Saccharomyces cerevisiae S288C: one gene and its partners. The main gene of each other region encodes a partner of the protein of the gene in region 3 in a complex. Each region holds a gene or a part of one and is shown on either strand. Other genes may lie near its edges. A codon is read from its position in the direction of its gene.

Evidence for each region. The genes of interacting proteins can lie anywhere in the genome.
Region 1: the proteins of CTF8 (region 3) and CTF18 are in contact, whole or in part, in a crystal structure (PDB 5OKC), measured with the Saccharomyces cerevisiae proteins. Residues at the interface, in NP_012061.3 of Saccharomyces cerevisiae: Pro2 (codon at 1,614), Ser3 (codon at 1,617), Val4 (codon at 1,620), Ile35 (codon at 1,713), Gln36 (codon at 1,716), Gly37 (codon at 1,719), Glu38 (codon at 1,722), Leu39 (codon at 1,725), Glu40 (codon at 1,728), Leu41 (codon at 1,731), Pro42 (codon at 1,734), Leu48 (codon at 1,752), Arg51 (codon at 1,761), Arg58 (codon at 1,782), Phe59 (codon at 1,785), Ile68 (codon at 1,812), Arg69 (codon at 1,815), Phe70 (codon at 1,818), Val84 (codon at 1,860), Gly85 (codon at 1,863), Lys86 (codon at 1,866), Gln88 (codon at 1,872), Leu90 (codon at 1,878), Phe106 (codon at 1,926), Asn107 (codon at 1,929), Ser108 (codon at 1,932), Asn111 (codon at 1,941), Lys112 (codon at 1,944), Val113 (codon at 1,947), Lys126 (codon at 1,986); in NP_013795.1 of Saccharomyces cerevisiae: Thr715 (codon at 3,801), Val716 (codon at 3,804), Lys717 (codon at 3,807), Ile718 (codon at 3,810), Trp719 (codon at 3,813), Val720 (codon at 3,816), Lys721 (codon at 3,819), Tyr722 (codon at 3,822), Asn723 (codon at 3,825), Glu724 (codon at 3,828), Gly725 (codon at 3,831), Phe726 (codon at 3,834), Trp736 (codon at 3,864), Leu739 (codon at 3,873), Trp740 (codon at 3,876), Glu741 (codon at 3,879).
Region 2: the proteins of CTF8 (region 3) and POL2 are in contact, whole or in part, in a cryo-EM structure (PDB 6S2F), measured with the Saccharomyces cerevisiae proteins. Residues at the interface, in NP_012061.3 of Saccharomyces cerevisiae: Glu40 (codon at 1,728), Lys87 (codon at 1,869), Gln88 (codon at 1,872), Arg128 (codon at 1,992), Leu130 (codon at 1,998), Pro131 (codon at 2,001), Met133 (codon at 2,007); in NP_014137.1 of Saccharomyces cerevisiae: Arg1025 (codon at 2,928), Met1036 (codon at 2,895), Leu1037 (codon at 2,892), Glu1038 (codon at 2,889), Glu1040 (codon at 2,883), Asp1041 (codon at 2,880).

What each region holds. Positions count from the first base shown.
Region 1 is NC_001145.3:422,003-426,386, reverse strand, and holds CTF18 (Ctf18p), read left to right. Parts: upstream 1-1,658; coding exon 1,659-3,884; downstream 3,885-4,384. Other genes in the region: phosphatidylinositol/phosphatidylcholine transfer protein SEC14, read right to left, coding at 328-1,233, 1,390-1,398; ESCRT-III subunit protein VPS20, read left to right, coding at 4,238-4,384. UniProt on the Saccharomyces cerevisiae protein: Essential for the fidelity of chromosome transmission. Required for the DNA replication block checkpoint.
Region 2 is NC_001146.8:146,673-154,211, reverse strand, and holds the start of POL2 (DNA polymerase epsilon catalytic subunit), read right to left. Parts: upstream 6,001-7,539; coding exon 1-6,000. Other genes in the region: protein transporter YIF1, read left to right, coding at 6,372-7,316. UniProt on the Saccharomyces cerevisiae protein: Catalytic component of the DNA polymerase epsilon complex which participates in chromosomal DNA replication.
Region 3 is NC_001140.6:484,867-488,241, reverse strand, and holds CTF8 (Ctf8p), read left to right. Parts: upstream 1-1,610; coding exon 1,611-2,012; downstream 2,013-3,375. Other genes in the region: EGD2 (Egd2p), read left to right, coding at 6-530; LNP1 (Lnp1p), read right to left, coding at 580-1,416; ERG9 (bifunctional farnesyl-diphosphate farnesyltransferase/squalene synthase), read right to left, coding at 2,063-3,375. UniProt on the Saccharomyces cerevisiae protein: Essential for the fidelity of chromosome transmission. Required for the DNA replication block checkpoint.

The DNA.
Region 1 (4,384 bases), on a different chromosome or scaffold from region 3:
TATGTTCTTTTTATTGTTTAATACGTGCATATGTATTCTATAAGATAAATGTATATAACTGCCAACAAAATAAACTAAAATCAAGGTATGGCTGTAGAAAATGATACCACAGATAATAAAATAATAAATAATCTAATAGCTGAGTGGAAGAAAAAAAAAAAATAAAAAAAGAGTAGTACAAACTAAGGAGATAAAAGTGTGAACTATGCCTATTCAAAAAAGTAGAATAGAGTAAATAAGCATACTTGTACTTATCTCAGTTGTAAAATATCGTTACTTAGAACTCCTCTTTTCTCTCTCGAAAAAAAAATGTCTTTAAAAATAATATCATTTCATCGAAAAGGCTTCCGGAGCTTCACCTTCCGGTCCAATATACTTTGGATCCCTCCATGGACCGATATCGGATAGGTATAACCCACCCTTGGATTCATCAACTTCAGACTTACCGCCAAATTTGACTGGTAAGTTTTCAGCTGGAATTTGCTTTAATAATTCCTTCTGGTAAGAAGAACCCAAGATAAAAATCTTTGAAACAGTGACTGGATCCAAGAAAGGTTTAAATAGCCTAAATGCGGTAGAGAAACCGAATGGCGCGTTGATGATGTAAAATTTACCCATACGTTCGGGGTAATAGTTTTGACTTATGTAGGAGGCTTCCCTAACATATGACATAACACTGTATGCACTAGATATGGAGATACCTTTCAAATCCATAATTGTACATGAAGTTTCCACTAGGTGACCAGCAGCTCTTGAACAGGCAGGTAATCTGTATTGAACGACAGATTCGTATTCCCAAACCAAGTTTTTCAACATCCTCTCTTCAGAGGTAACCTTGTTCATTTCATGTAAGTTAACAGCACCTAATTCTTCAAAATATACTGGGCGGCCATCTTTATCGGTTTTATGATAATATTGTGGGTAGAATTTGGCAATCAATGGTTTTTCATCATAATGAAAATCTTGCAAGATAGTGTCGGTACCATAATCCTTCCTCCATTTTTCGCAGTTTTCAAACATTTCTTTAGCCAATTGAACATCAAATTTTCTGGCTCTCAAAAAACGTAGTAAAGTTGAATCGTCTAAACGTTCAATGAAACCAGCGTCTTCCAAAAGTTTTCTTAGTTCTGCCAATGCCTTCTCTTGAGCGCTGTCTAAATTTCCTGGAGTACCAGGCAAGGCATCTGGAGGACAGTTTTGAGGGTAGGATTCTAAAAATTCCTTTTCTTGTTGCTATTTAAAGTGAAGTCATAGTAATACCACTTGTGTTTGTTAGTAAACTTATTGATATATCATTTTTGCTTCATATAGACAGAACTATCTGAAGAATGTGAATATTGTCACAATGAATGTCAAAAAAAGAAAAAGTAAATAAAAGCAACAACATACTGTAACCATTGTGTTTTAGGGCGATGAAGGTTTGGTTTGATGCTACAGGCGCTGGTCAAGCGATATACCAGGAAAGGACACTTAAGACACAAACAAAGGAAGATGTACCATTTTATTGTTGATCAACGTTGAAAAAAAAAATGTGGAAAAAACGAACTAGCCAGTCGCGTTGTACGGAACATCTAACACGTAAATAAACATGATTTCATATATTTTATTCCTAATGTGTACACTATTTGACCCAAAAGGTGGATGTAAGGTCAGGGATCATGGTTGATACCGCACCATACATTGGTTCACTAGGGAGAAGTTCCCTTTTTGATACTGGTGATATAGAACAAGCCCCTGGTAATAATGCAATTGGTATTAATGAGGAAGATATTCACGCGTTTGTATCAAGTACTGGCGAAACGGTTCAATTAAAGAAGAAGCCTGCGAAGTTAGCAACCGGGAATATTAGTCTATACACTAACCCAGATACTGTTTGGAGATCAGACGACACGTACGGCATCAATATAAACTATTTGTTAGACAAAATTGAGGCATCTGGCGATGACCGCACTAACGCACAAAAGACTTCACCTATAACTGGCAAGATAGGTAGCGACACACTCTGGGTAGAGAAATGGCGTCCTAAAAAATTTCTAGATTTGGTTGGTAATGAAAAGACAAACAGGAGAATGTTAGGTTGGTTGAGACAATGGACGCCGGCTGTGTTTAAAGAGCAATTACCCAAATTGCCAACCGAAAAAGAGGTCAGTGATATGGAACTCGATCCATTGAAAAGGCCACCAAAGAAAATTTTACTACTGCACGGGCCACCAGGAATAGGCAAAACCTCAGTAGCTCACGTTATTGCCAAACAATCAGGGTTTTCTGTCTCAGAAATCAATGCAAGTGATGAAAGGGCTGGACCTATGGTAAAAGAGAAAATATATAATCTTTTATTCAATCATACTTTCGATACAAATCCTGTGTGCTTAGTGGCGGATGAGATTGATGGAAGTATTGAGAGTGGATTTATTAGAATTTTAGTTGACATTATGCAAAGCGATATTAAAGCCACTAATAAACTATTATACGGTCAACCAGATAAAAAGGACAAAAAGCGCAAAAAGAAAAGGTCTAAATTGCTTACGCGACCTATTATTTGTATTTGCAATAATCTATATGCTCCTTCTTTGGAAAAGCTGAAACCATTCTGTGAAATTATTGCTGTGAAAAGACCTTCCGATACTACCCTACTAGAGCGATTGAACCTTATCTGCCATAAAGAAAACATGAATATTCCTATAAAAGCAATCAATGACTTAATTGATTTGGCTCAAGGTGACGTAAGGAATTGTATAAACAATTTACAATTCTTGGCCTCGAATGTTGATTCAAGAGATTCCTCTGCATCAGATAAACCTGCTTGTGCAAAAAATACGTGGGCGTCATCCAACAAGGACTCCCCCATATCATGGTTTAAAATCGTGAACCAATTGTTTAGAAAGGATCCACATCGTGATATAAAGGAGCAGTTTTATGAATTGCTAAACCAAGTAGAGCTTAATGGTAACTCTGACAGGATATTGCAAGGCTGTTTTAATATATTTCCCTACGTAAAATATTCCGACAATGGTATAAGAAAGCCAGCAAACATTTCAGATTGGCTATTTTTCCATGATTTAATGTACCAATCAATGTATGCGCATAATGGCGAATTGTTACGTTACTCCGCCCTTGTGCCCCTAGTCTTCTTCCAAACGTTTGGCGATATCGCAAACAAAGATGATATTAGAATGAAGAATAGTGAATACGAACAACGTGAATTAAAACGAGCCAATTCAGATATAGTTAGTCTGATTATGAGACATATCTCGGTTCAGTCCCCACTAATGGCAAGTTTTACGGATAGAAAATCGTTAATCTTTGAAATACTACCATATCTAGATTCGATGATCTCTTCCGATTTTAATAAAATAAGGAACCTGAAACTCAAACAAGCCATCATGGAGGAATTAGTTCAATTGCTGAAAAGCTTTCAACTGAATCTAATCCAAAATCGGTCAGAAGGATTTGATGTAAGGGGTGGCCTAACAATCGATCCCCCAATCGATGAAGTCGTATTGTTAAATCCTAAACATATTAACGAAGTCCAACATAAACGGGCTAATAATTTGAGTTCACTGTTAGCAAAGATTGAGGAAAACCGGGCCAAGAAAAGGCATATAGACCAAGTGACTGAGGATAGACTACAGTCACAGGAAATGCATAGCAAAAAAGTCAAAACTGGGTTAAATTCTTCCTCAAGTACAATCGACTTTTTCAAGAATCAGTACGGATTATTGAAGCAAACTCAGGAATTGGAAGAGACACAAAAAACTATTGGATCAGACGAAACCAACCAAGCAGATGACTGCAATCAAACGGTTAAAATATGGGTGAAATACAATGAGGGGTTCTCTAACGCTGTCAGGAAAAATGTGACTTGGAATAACCTGTGGGAATAAATGACGTAAGATATATACGCAGTCTCTCTTAAGAAGCATACTTGTATATGGACCAGCAGCTTACATAGAAATCTAAAAGAAGTAAATAAAGAACATTAGCAATCAATCCTGCCGGTAGTCGCAACAGCTCCGATTTTGTCACGCAGCGTTCGTTTTTTATTCGTGATCTTTTACCCTCTTCGCTATCGTTCTTATTTCTACATAAATGGAACCCCGAAGAGCAGAAAGACCGAAAATCGAATTACTATCTGTGGGATACAATATAGCGCATAGAAAAGAACAAAACATAGATAGTTTGGAAAAATAGTACAGACTGCTGAATTAACTCCACTTGGTGCTTTTGTATATATCGAATGGGCCAAAAAAGTAGTAAAGTGCATATAACCAAAACAGATAGGGCGATCCTAGAAGTAAAACGATCTAAAGATGAAATTCATAAGTTTACGAGGAGGACAGATAATTTGATTTTGGTAGAGAAGAGTCAACTAAAAGACCTAATA
Region 2 (7,539 bases), on a different chromosome or scaffold from region 3:
CAACGAGTTTTCAACACTATCTTCCTTATCTTGTTTTTTTACATTAACTATTTGGGTAGGTCTTTGCGTCCCTGAATTCAATTTTAGATAGCTCTGCTTTGTCTTTAGCATACTATCCAATATGATCATCATCCAATCCTCAAATTCGGGCTGATATATTGGTGACAGAAACTTCTTTAGTTGCCATTGCGAAACAGCGGTATAATCCTGATTTTCCTTTTCCTCTATTTCAATACATGCTAATCCACTAAAATTAAACTTATCCATCCATATTAGCAGATCCCAATAACGTTTGATATTTAAGTCCAGATAACTAAACATTGGATTTGTTCTAACTGCCTTCATCATATATTGGCTGTAGGCGTAACAGTTTTCAGGTGAGTACTTGTTTGTCTTTATTAGAATTTGATTCCTGTCTGCATATACAATAGTTGAGCCAAGTGCACTAAATTCATTTACTAATTGAAGTAAGGCTTTTTTTGTTAAGTTATGAACGTGATATCTTAGTAATCCGTCGAATAGTTTCGCATTCGGGTTTTGAACCCAACTTGCCAGGGAATTTACCAACAAATCTGCGGTTGAATTTTCTTTTAGGGCCTCATCCCACCACTCCTTTAACATACCTCTTAAAACATTCAAAGCGTCATTAGAAAAGGCGTCGTGCACGAATTCAGATGGCGAGTTAATAACGGCATCTTTGTCATCTATACCCATATTATTGTTAACTAGATCACTGCCTTCAGCATCATTGATTAATGCTGATGTCAAAATTGTGTTCACTGTTAAATTATCAACACCAACATCGAGAACTACATTGTCATACACACCTGAGTTATTAATTTTGGGAAATTCTGAATCATTCATTATCCATGATGTATTTAAATCAAAATCATTTTGAATGCCTCCATGATCTGGAAGTGGAGCTTTCTCATTCCACCAAAGCACGATGTTCTCTTTTTTTAGTTTTCTTGCATAAAGAACATCAATAATATAATCCATACTATCCAGCCTCAAATTACAGATTGGAATGTTACTATACTGGGATAACTTGATCAAGTGAGAAATCCACGAACCACTGGATAAAACGTGGTTAACAAGTTTCTTCAATAATGTCGGTTGCCAGTTCAATTGGGGTAGAAGAACTTCATTCAAGGAAAGCTTAACAATGGGCATCTGGTTTAGAAGCCGGATTGTGCCTAAGAGCTTAGTGATAAACGGAGATTGTAACAAGAGTAAAAACTGCAGACCTCTTTCTTCTTTTAATTTAGTAGTTTCCTGTGATAGTCTTCTGTACAATTTTGAGATATCTGTAAAATATACAAACTCAAAATTGATATCTTCTTTAATATCAACCAAGTAAGAATATGTTTCTATTTTACCTTTCTTTTTTTCAAACATTTGTTTGTATATTTGTCCTAATGATGAGGCATTTATTTCCTGAGCCTGGTTGGATGGTTTCAAAACTAATATAGTAATAGTATCTCCCCATGACTTGAATAATGAAAAAAATTCATACCCAATTGATGTTGGGAAATGTAGTAAATAGCCAATGTCCATTGAAAATCCACTCAGATACCTTTCATTTTCCGCCATTGAAAGATCCTTCATTTCAAAACCCTGCTGTATTCCCTTGCCTAACGCACCCATTGCTTTTGAGCGGAACGTTACCGAAGCTCCCAAATCCATGATCGCTCTTTGATGAGGAGTGATAGTGCCCTCAAATACACCAAGTACATTTTCATCGTTGAAGATACTAGTGCAGTTTTCCTTTTCTTCCAGAAAGACAGATTCCGGTAGAGTAATTTTGAATAGCTGACCGCCTGCTGGATTAGACGTTTTGGGATTATTTGGTAACGATGCAGAAGATTTTTCAATAAGGCAATTCTTAATCTTTTGTAGCGGCATTGTTTGAGATTTGAATTTCATATAAATAGTTTTTGGTATATGGAAGGTGATGTTCTGGACTTTGCCATTAATTGTTACAAATACTTCCAAAACCCCTGGCTCACCGGAATCCTTGTATTGTAAGACCTCCCAAGTGGAGTTCGCATATGATTCAGCTTGCTTCCTAATCATACTTCCTAGTGCACTTCTTTCACGGGAGCTGTTTGTATTACCAAATAATTGGTCTCGACGCTTTCTATCTCTTGCTTGGATTTTCCATTTAATTTTTTGATAATTTAGCCACCCAACATAGTCCTCGTCCATGGAAGGAATCTCCGAGGGCAATACTAGTGGATCTTCTTCATTTGTAAGCTGATTTCTTTTCCTCTTGGATACGGCTTTCTTTTTAGTAGTTCTTGCAATTTTAATTTTGGCGTTATCTTCTTCTACAGTTGGTTCAAACAAATCCTCGATATCTTTTATCTTGCCCATTGTTGGTACATTCTTTGTCTTCGAAAAAAATTTGGTTAGTGAAGTCTGCTTAAACTTATCCTCCTTTGTAGCGATTTTTCTTTTTAGCCAATCTGGATGTTCAACCCTTGGAACAGGATTGGAAACCCCTTGTAATGCTGCTGGAATAGTAATTATCTTTTGTATAGCAGATCCAAGTCTTTCTCTATAATAACCCCAATCGATTATGGTTCTGATATCCAGATCTTCCAAAGATGGATCTAATGTCCATCGCCTCAGAAAAGACCTTTTGATGGGAATGTCCGCTGAAAATATTGCGACTGGAATGGCTCGTTCAGTAACAGGTGCATTGAAAGGTTTTGAACTAATAATATATTTACATTGTAGACCTTTATCTTTTACCATATCTTCACCCAAAAAATCCCCCAATCTCCTTGCCGTCGTAATAGAAGTAGATTTTTGCCCTTCATATTCCTTTAAAGTTTTTGACATACTTCTATTTTCACAAATCAAACTGACCAAGTCTTCATCTTCTAACATAAGACCATGTGAATCAAGAACATCTAACCAACGGTTACATACGCTTGCTACAGCACTGTAACATCCTTCTAATGTATCACCTTCCAAAAAGACCTTGAAAATATCACTTTGAAAATTTTTTATTAGTTGTAATTCACCACGCCTCTTCAATTCAAAACCTTTCAGTTCAGCAAGTGAGCCGTCTTCATTGAAGACAGCATATCTTTTCTTTATACCTTTTCCTTCTTCCTTGGAACTAGGCAAAATCATGGCCTTATATGGTCCGTCAACTTCGAAAAAAATCGTGTTTTCACTGTGCGTCTCATATATATAGTTCAATGGGTCTTTTAATTCTTGGTATTGGTGATTCGTAAACTTTTGGTGAACTCTGTAATTCAGCATGGAACATGGGTAGGAGAGATAAAGCTTTTTACCATTTTCTAATGTAAAAAAGTAAGTTTCAGGGAAAGATTTTGGTAAGATACACCAAATACCATCAGTATCTAATTCTAATGGTCTTCCTACCCTTTCTACTAAAGCTCTCGCCATTTGAATGATCGTGGCACCTGTTAAACACGTAATCCCCGCCATTTCCATGGAATACCAACGAGAGCCTTTCCTCATAACATACCCATAAAACGAATTCAAAATAACTTTGTGAGCTAATTGTAATGAGTCATAAAGCACAATCATCTTTTTGGCCTCGTCTCTCGCATGCTTATCAGATGGGTCAATTTTGGACAGATTTCCCTTCCAAGTCTTGGCTAAACCTTTGAATTCGTAACGCCTATCACGAAAGGATTTCACGGTATCGACGTAGAATGGATTTTCTCTTTGGCAGACAATGGCTTCTCGTTCGACAATTTCTGATACTTTAACCCTATGATAAACTTTCCTTGAATATTCAGTTAAACGTTTTTTTATGTGGATAACTTGGTCTGCGTAACTTAGTTCATCAAATGTCAAAACTTTCTTTTTAGAAAACTTGTTTTTGTTGGGAAAAGTCTCATTTTGTAATGCACGCTTGATCATGTTATACTCATCCATCTTACTGGGAAAGAATTCTCCTCTCCAAGCCCATTTTAACTTTCTTGCACAGGTTTTTCCGGGTCTATTAAAATCGCAACTAGCACAATCGCGCTCTGCTTTGATACTATCTGGTTGTAGTCTATTTGTAGTCATGATGTTTGGGTACATAGAGGCGACATCTACATGATAGATCAAAGGTAGTTCGTTTCTTATATTGTTTTCCTTCAACTCTAATAATTTCTGCGTTATCTGGTTTTTTATTTCCTCAAAATTCGTTACTTTATCTACACTGGACTTATTTTCAACTTCCACACTAAATTTCAAAGCTTCTGGTAATTCTTGTAATAATTCATCAATGGCAGAAGGATCTATCTTGAATTCATTCTTCAAATCACTCCTAAAAACACCAGCTTCTAATGACTCCACATGTCCACCCACGTAAGTCTCGGATTCTAGAAGATGTCCATCATAGAACCTCTCAATGGGATCTGTATGCTTATTTGGTAGAAGAATATTATGTTGATAAGCTTGAACCATCAACAACATTTCACACAAAGTACCGGTACCCTTTCTCAATGTTTCATCCGGGTTCAAAGGAATAATAGTACAAAGGGAAAAGATAAAAGGATGAACATATTTCATGTAAAGGTAATACGTAGCGACTGCATCGGAAACAGAATATTCGGAAAGGTGCTGTGGCTTTTCAAATGCATACGGCGTCATTAATTCGGGATCCAGTTCAATTGGGTTATAACCTAGCTTAGATTGAGTAACAGCTTTTAAACCCTGGGAACCTTGTGGTAAATAAGAATCACGCTTCACCCAACGGAAACAATCCATGTGAGAGCAGTATGAGGACTTGTACTCACCTTCAGCATCTGGAGCGAAACCAATTTCATCGAACATGTCCAAGCCGTGAATCTTACTTCTGTTATGTATAAAAGGCCAATCGAAAAAGTCACCATTGAAGGTGGATATAACAGTGGGTCGTACATCTCTTATATGTTCAAAAAACCTTTGTAGAAGCGCCACTTCATCGTTTTCGTTAAATATGGTGAAAAAACCAGGATACTCCGGTTTCGGTGTATACTCAAAGTCTTCAATATCCTCAGAGATTATCTCCCTATTTGTTATCAAAAAACCTTCCCCATCGATCATATACGAAATCATCATTATTTGATCTACGGCGGAATCCGGGAATTTTAAAGGCGGCTTCGTGGTTTCTATATCAAATGCCATTACCACAGGGTCGGCAAATGCAATTTTCCTAGTATCTTCAATGAATCCCTGTTGAGTTACCTTATACCATTTACCGACTCTAATGTCCTTGTCTATAGATACTCGGACATGATACGGCACATCATATTCCCTGATATCTTCGATCAGATGTTTGGCGTCAACTTTTTCCGAGCCATTTGCAGCAACGTTATATATATTTCTTTGCACATTATTATTGGCATTATCCTGCAAGATTGGCCTCAGGAGTTTCCTGGCCTCGAATAACTGATTGGAATTTACAAATGATAACTTAATAAGTGTCTTCTGCAGCCCTAAAAGGTGATTGTCCATGGTAAGATCTTCCTTTCTAATGATTTGTAAGCTTTTGAGACAAGATTCCAGATATTTTTTCACTAGTTCCTCCACATCATTTACTCTTGATTCATCGTTACACGCAATAAAGAAGTATGGGTCATAGACAACTGTCGACTTGAAGCTCCCACCCTCTTCATCTAAAAAGTAGAAGTCAACTCCGGAAATACCTTGGTTGGTCGTTACACGTTCTCCGTCATTCGAATTGCCGCCGCCATTACTACCACTGGATAAGGTTTCCTGAGAGACCAGCGTTGCGTGCATGTTCGTCAGCCACCCTACGCGGCCTGGAATCTGATCTATATCCTTCGCATCAAACCTGCCATTGTATTGCGGCGGTACGTATCTTTCAAATCCCATCATCGAATCGATGTCATCGATCTTACTAGCATTTAAGAGCTGTTGCGCGCTAAGCGCATAATTATTTGAGAGTGTGTTGTACTTGTTGCCAGCTGAATATCTTGCAGTGGAAGATCCTCCGTTGTTTTTTTTCTTGCCAAACATCATATACTTGTCCCCTGAGAGTGTTATCTTGATAGAATGTGCTCTTTCATCATCATATGCTCTTTTTGATAGGTCCTCTTCCAGTTAAAATGGTAAAAGATGCAAGAAACTTACGCGTTCTGGTTACCCTACCTGAAAATAAACCATTCTGACAATTCAAATGACAATAAACTTGGGCCTTTGACGAACACTGACAGTGTTACTATTACTTTTTCTCAGTGCTAAAACAGCATATCCGAGACTCTGTATCAAGATCCATATTGCACACCAGAGCTGTTGTTTTATACTACAACTCATCTTTTTGACTTTTCGATTGTAAGACCTCGCTACTGAGTATCAATAGCAGAAAACGAAAACCAAAGGCCCATACCAAGATGTCTTATAATCCGTACGCATATGCAACAAGTGAGCAGAATGGCGTTAACGATCGCTTTTCCCACACTCCACAACAGCAACGACCAATGCAAATTCCGAGGAACACGCCCGTGAATGGCCAAGGTAATGCGAATATGAATGCAAACGTAAATGGCAGTGGCGGTGGTTTTCCATTCCAAGATCCTCGTGGTTCGATGGCATTCCAACTAGGGCAGAGCGCATTTTCTAATTTTATTGGTCAGGATAACTTTAACCAGTTTCAAGAAACGGTCAATAAAGCCACTGCAAACGCTGCCGGCTCTCAACAAATTTCAACGTATTTTCAAGTCAGCACCCGTTATGTCATCAATAAATTGAAACTCATCCTAGTTCCTTTTCTTAACGGAACCAAGAACTGGCAACGAATTATGGACTCTGGCAACTTTTTGCCACCAAGGGATGACGTGAACTCCCCAGACATGTACATGCCTATTATGGGACTAGTTACCTATATTCTCATCTGGAATACGCAGCAAGGTCTGAAGGGTTCATTCAACCCCGAAGACTTGTACTACAAACTGTCTTCTACTCTGGCGTTTGTGTGTTTAGATTTGTTGATTTTGAAGCTTGGCTTGTATCTTTTGATCGATTCTAAGATTCCAAGCTTCAGTTTGGTCGAACTGTTGTGCTATGTCGGCTACAAATTTGTTCCATTGATTCTCGCCCAGCTTTTGACCAACGTGACCATGCCATTTAACCTGAATATTTTGATAAAATTTTACTTATTTATTGCCTTTGGCGTATTCCTACTAAGATCCGTCAAGTTCAATTTACTAAGCCGCTCCGGTGCTGAAGACGATGATATACACGTTTCCATCAGCAAATCGACCGTCAAGAAGTGCAATTACTTCCTATTCGTCTATGGCTTCATTTGGCAAAATGTTCTAATGTGGTTAATGGGTTGATCTTGATTGAAGAGATCAAAGAGAGGATTTAATTTCATGCGCATTATTATTATCTACGGTCAATTTGTTAAATACTTATATACTTTTATTCCTACGTCATAAATTTTCTATTTACTTTTCTTATTTTTCCTTTCACTCAATATGGAGTGGAAAGAGAACAATAGAGGGATTAAAATTCGTGGGAAAAATCACGCTTTTTAGATAGATTTAATTTACATCATTG
Region 3 (3,375 bases):
TGATAATGTCTGCTATCCCAGAAAACGCCAACGTTACCGTCTTAAACAAGAACGAAAAGAAAGCCAGAGAATTGATTGGCAAATTGGGTTTGAAGCAAATCCCAGGTATCATCAGAGTCACTTTCAGGAAGAAGGACAACCAAATCTATGCTATTGAAAAGCCAGAAGTCTTCAGATCTGCCGGTGGTAACTACGTTGTCTTCGGTGAAGCTAAGGTTGACAACTTTACCCAAAAGCTAGCCGCTGCTCAACAACAAGCTCAAGCTAGCGGTATTATGCCATCTAACGAAGACGTCGCTACCAAGTCCCCAGAAGACATCCAAGCTGACATGCAAGCCGCCGCAGAAGGCAGTGTCAACGCCGCAGCAGAAGAAGATGACGAAGAAGGTGAAGTTGATGCCGGTGACTTGAATAAGGATGATATCGAGTTAGTCGTTCAACAAACTAACGTTTCCAAAAACCAAGCCATCAAAGCCCTGAAAGCTCACAATGGTGACTTAGTCAACGCTATCATGTCCTTGTCTAAATAATGATATAAAAATATATTATATAGGGGTACGTAGTTATTCTAACGCAAAATCATTTTGTTTTTTCCTTCTCCGACTGCGAAGGCTGTGCCGGTTGTTTTGCTTCAATGGCGTCTTCTCTTTCCTTTACTTCGTCTATTTTGTGGTTACAGTGAGGACAGATAAAGATGATTGGCTTACTGGCCAATCTGTAGCAATTGGATTTCCAATGACACTGTGGACATATGATTTTTTTGAAGGGAGAGAGCGAACTTGTTGAGTCCAATTCATTACCGCCTGCCAGTACGCTGATGATTTTGTCGAACCATGCATCGCTGTCTTCCTTCTTTAGGCCCTTTACATGGCTTTCCTTCTTAAATTTTTCTAGCTCTGTCTTTAGATTGTTTAATTCTTGGTATTTAGCATTTAATTCATCATCTAGAAGTACCATGGCATCGTCGTTTTGATCTTCACCGGAAGAAAACCGTTGGATGATTGAGCTTGTAGCATTATAGTGGGTCTCTTCCTTTAACTTTTCCAGTTTCTTTTGATGAATTGCACGGAGTTTTGCCAACTTGCGTAACCTATTGTTGTTATAAAATGCATAGAGTTTGGTTAATGCCCATTTGAACAAGATTAGCGAGCCTATGCATAGTAGCGCAGTCACCACAAGGTATGGTCGATAACCATGGTACTCCCAATATGTGTAGCTCAGGGCCAATACCGTTAACGCAATACCATAAAAGGTCAGATTTGATTGCCATTGACTCAAGATGGATTGGCTTTTCTTTAACGCGACATCTAATTGATGGATCTGTGAAGTTATTTGTGATAAATCTGCGGTATACTTCGTCACAAAGTCCTTATCATTGCGAGAGCCTCGGACCCATTTACCTAATGCACTAAACATATTTATGTTATTCTTTTATATCCGATCTCCTCTTTGTATGATTTTTGTTTTCTTAAAATATACATGTCAACGTTAGCATCTTGAATTTCATTTTTCCTTTAATCTTTTTTAGTAAGCTAACCACTAATATAGCCAAAGGAGTGATAGAAAAAAGAATTATCACTATCATTCAGCCCAATAAACAGCTGAAAAGAATGCCTAGTGTAGATATAGATGCTAGTCAATGGCAGAAGTTGACACAGTCAAGAGAAAAGCAGACCACGGTGATAACACCGCTTGGGATGATGATGCTGGAGATTCAAGGTGAACTAGAGTTGCCTAAGGACTTTGCGTCGCTGGCGAGGAGAGATTCTCCAAATGAGGGAAGGTTCAGTGAACAGGACGGCGAAACTTTAATACGATTTGGGTCGTTACAGATTGACGGAGAGAGGGCCACATTGTTTGTCGGCAAGAAACAGCGTTTACTGGGGAAGGTGACAAAGCTAGACGTACCGATGGGTATAATGCATTTCAATTCGAAAGATAATAAGGTCGAATTAGTTGATGTAATGAAATATAAGGTTATCTTTAAGGATAGGCCTCTACCTATTATGTAAGTACTTAGTTATTGTTCGGAGTTGTTTGTTTATGTTATTTGGCGCAGACTTCACGCTCTGTGTAAAGTGTATATATAATAAAACCCAAGAAGAACGGACAAGATGATAGATAAAACCATATTGAACTTGTACTCTTCTTCTTGTTGGGTTGGAACCAATTCATCATCGTATCTGGATCTTTCTTTAACTTTCAAGAAAATTGGAGTTTCATTTGGCTTCACGTTAGGAGGTAATTTATCCTGGTACATTTCTTCCATAAACTGTTCGATCTTGGAGATTTGAATGTTCAATTTTAAGAAATTTGGATCTTGCACAGCCAATTTAGATTTGATATCACGTAAGTAATAGTCAAAAATCTCGACACAGCCACGCAAAGTCCTTGATTTCAAAATTAAATAGCAGGTAGTACCCTTACGAATCTTTACATTGCCATGTAGCACTTCACGGTTGTTGAATACCAAAGCCAAGGTTGCAATGGCCATAACTTGGGGAATGGCACAAAATTGGAAAGTGGATTGCTCGTGGATACCGGCCAAATAAGTCAACACATCGATAACATGACTCAATGCGTTTAAGACGAGGTGGTTTATACAGTCCAACCCCAGTTGTTCGTTTTCAGGTTTCATGAAGTCCTTCAACTGAGGAGCGTATTGTGACCAGATTTCCTTGGGCCAGAAGGATCTACCATCGACCAAATCTTCATTGTAATCTCTGATGATGTTGGTTTTTTGTAGGAAAAGACCCATGCTTTCATACAATTGCTCATTAGAATACAAAGATTCGTTGGCAAACTTGGCAATGACAATCAAACGGGTCAAACCATCACCGACCAAACCAGCTACGTAGTGACAGTACACGTCGTAGTCGTGGACGGTTTGCAACCCATTCAAGTTGTAATTTTCATCTAAGATGTAGTCGGCCATACCATTACCCATTTTCTCGGTGATCTCCTTGATGACTTCTTGATATTCTGGTTTCAATTTGTGGAATTCAATAAGAATCGATTCGAAATCTGTCAAAACGGCTCTGTCCTTCACATCGGGGGCATTTCCGTCGAAACTCCATTTAGTTAACAACAATTTCTCGTGGAAGTGACGCAACAAGTCAATTTTCAAATCGTGTTCGATGGACATATCGTCTTCGATGGTATCCAAAGCCCTTAAAATCAAATAAAAGAGAGTAACACAGTTTCTCAATTCTGGATGCAGCTCTCTGATCACAGCAGCAAACGATCTGGAGGTCAAGTTCAACAGTTCGAAACAGTGCAAGAGATATGGAGACGTGGACTGATCATAGATGGAGAATAGCGGTGTTCTGCAAAACTTCAGCTTCAAAGCTGCCTTCATCTCGACCGGATGCAATG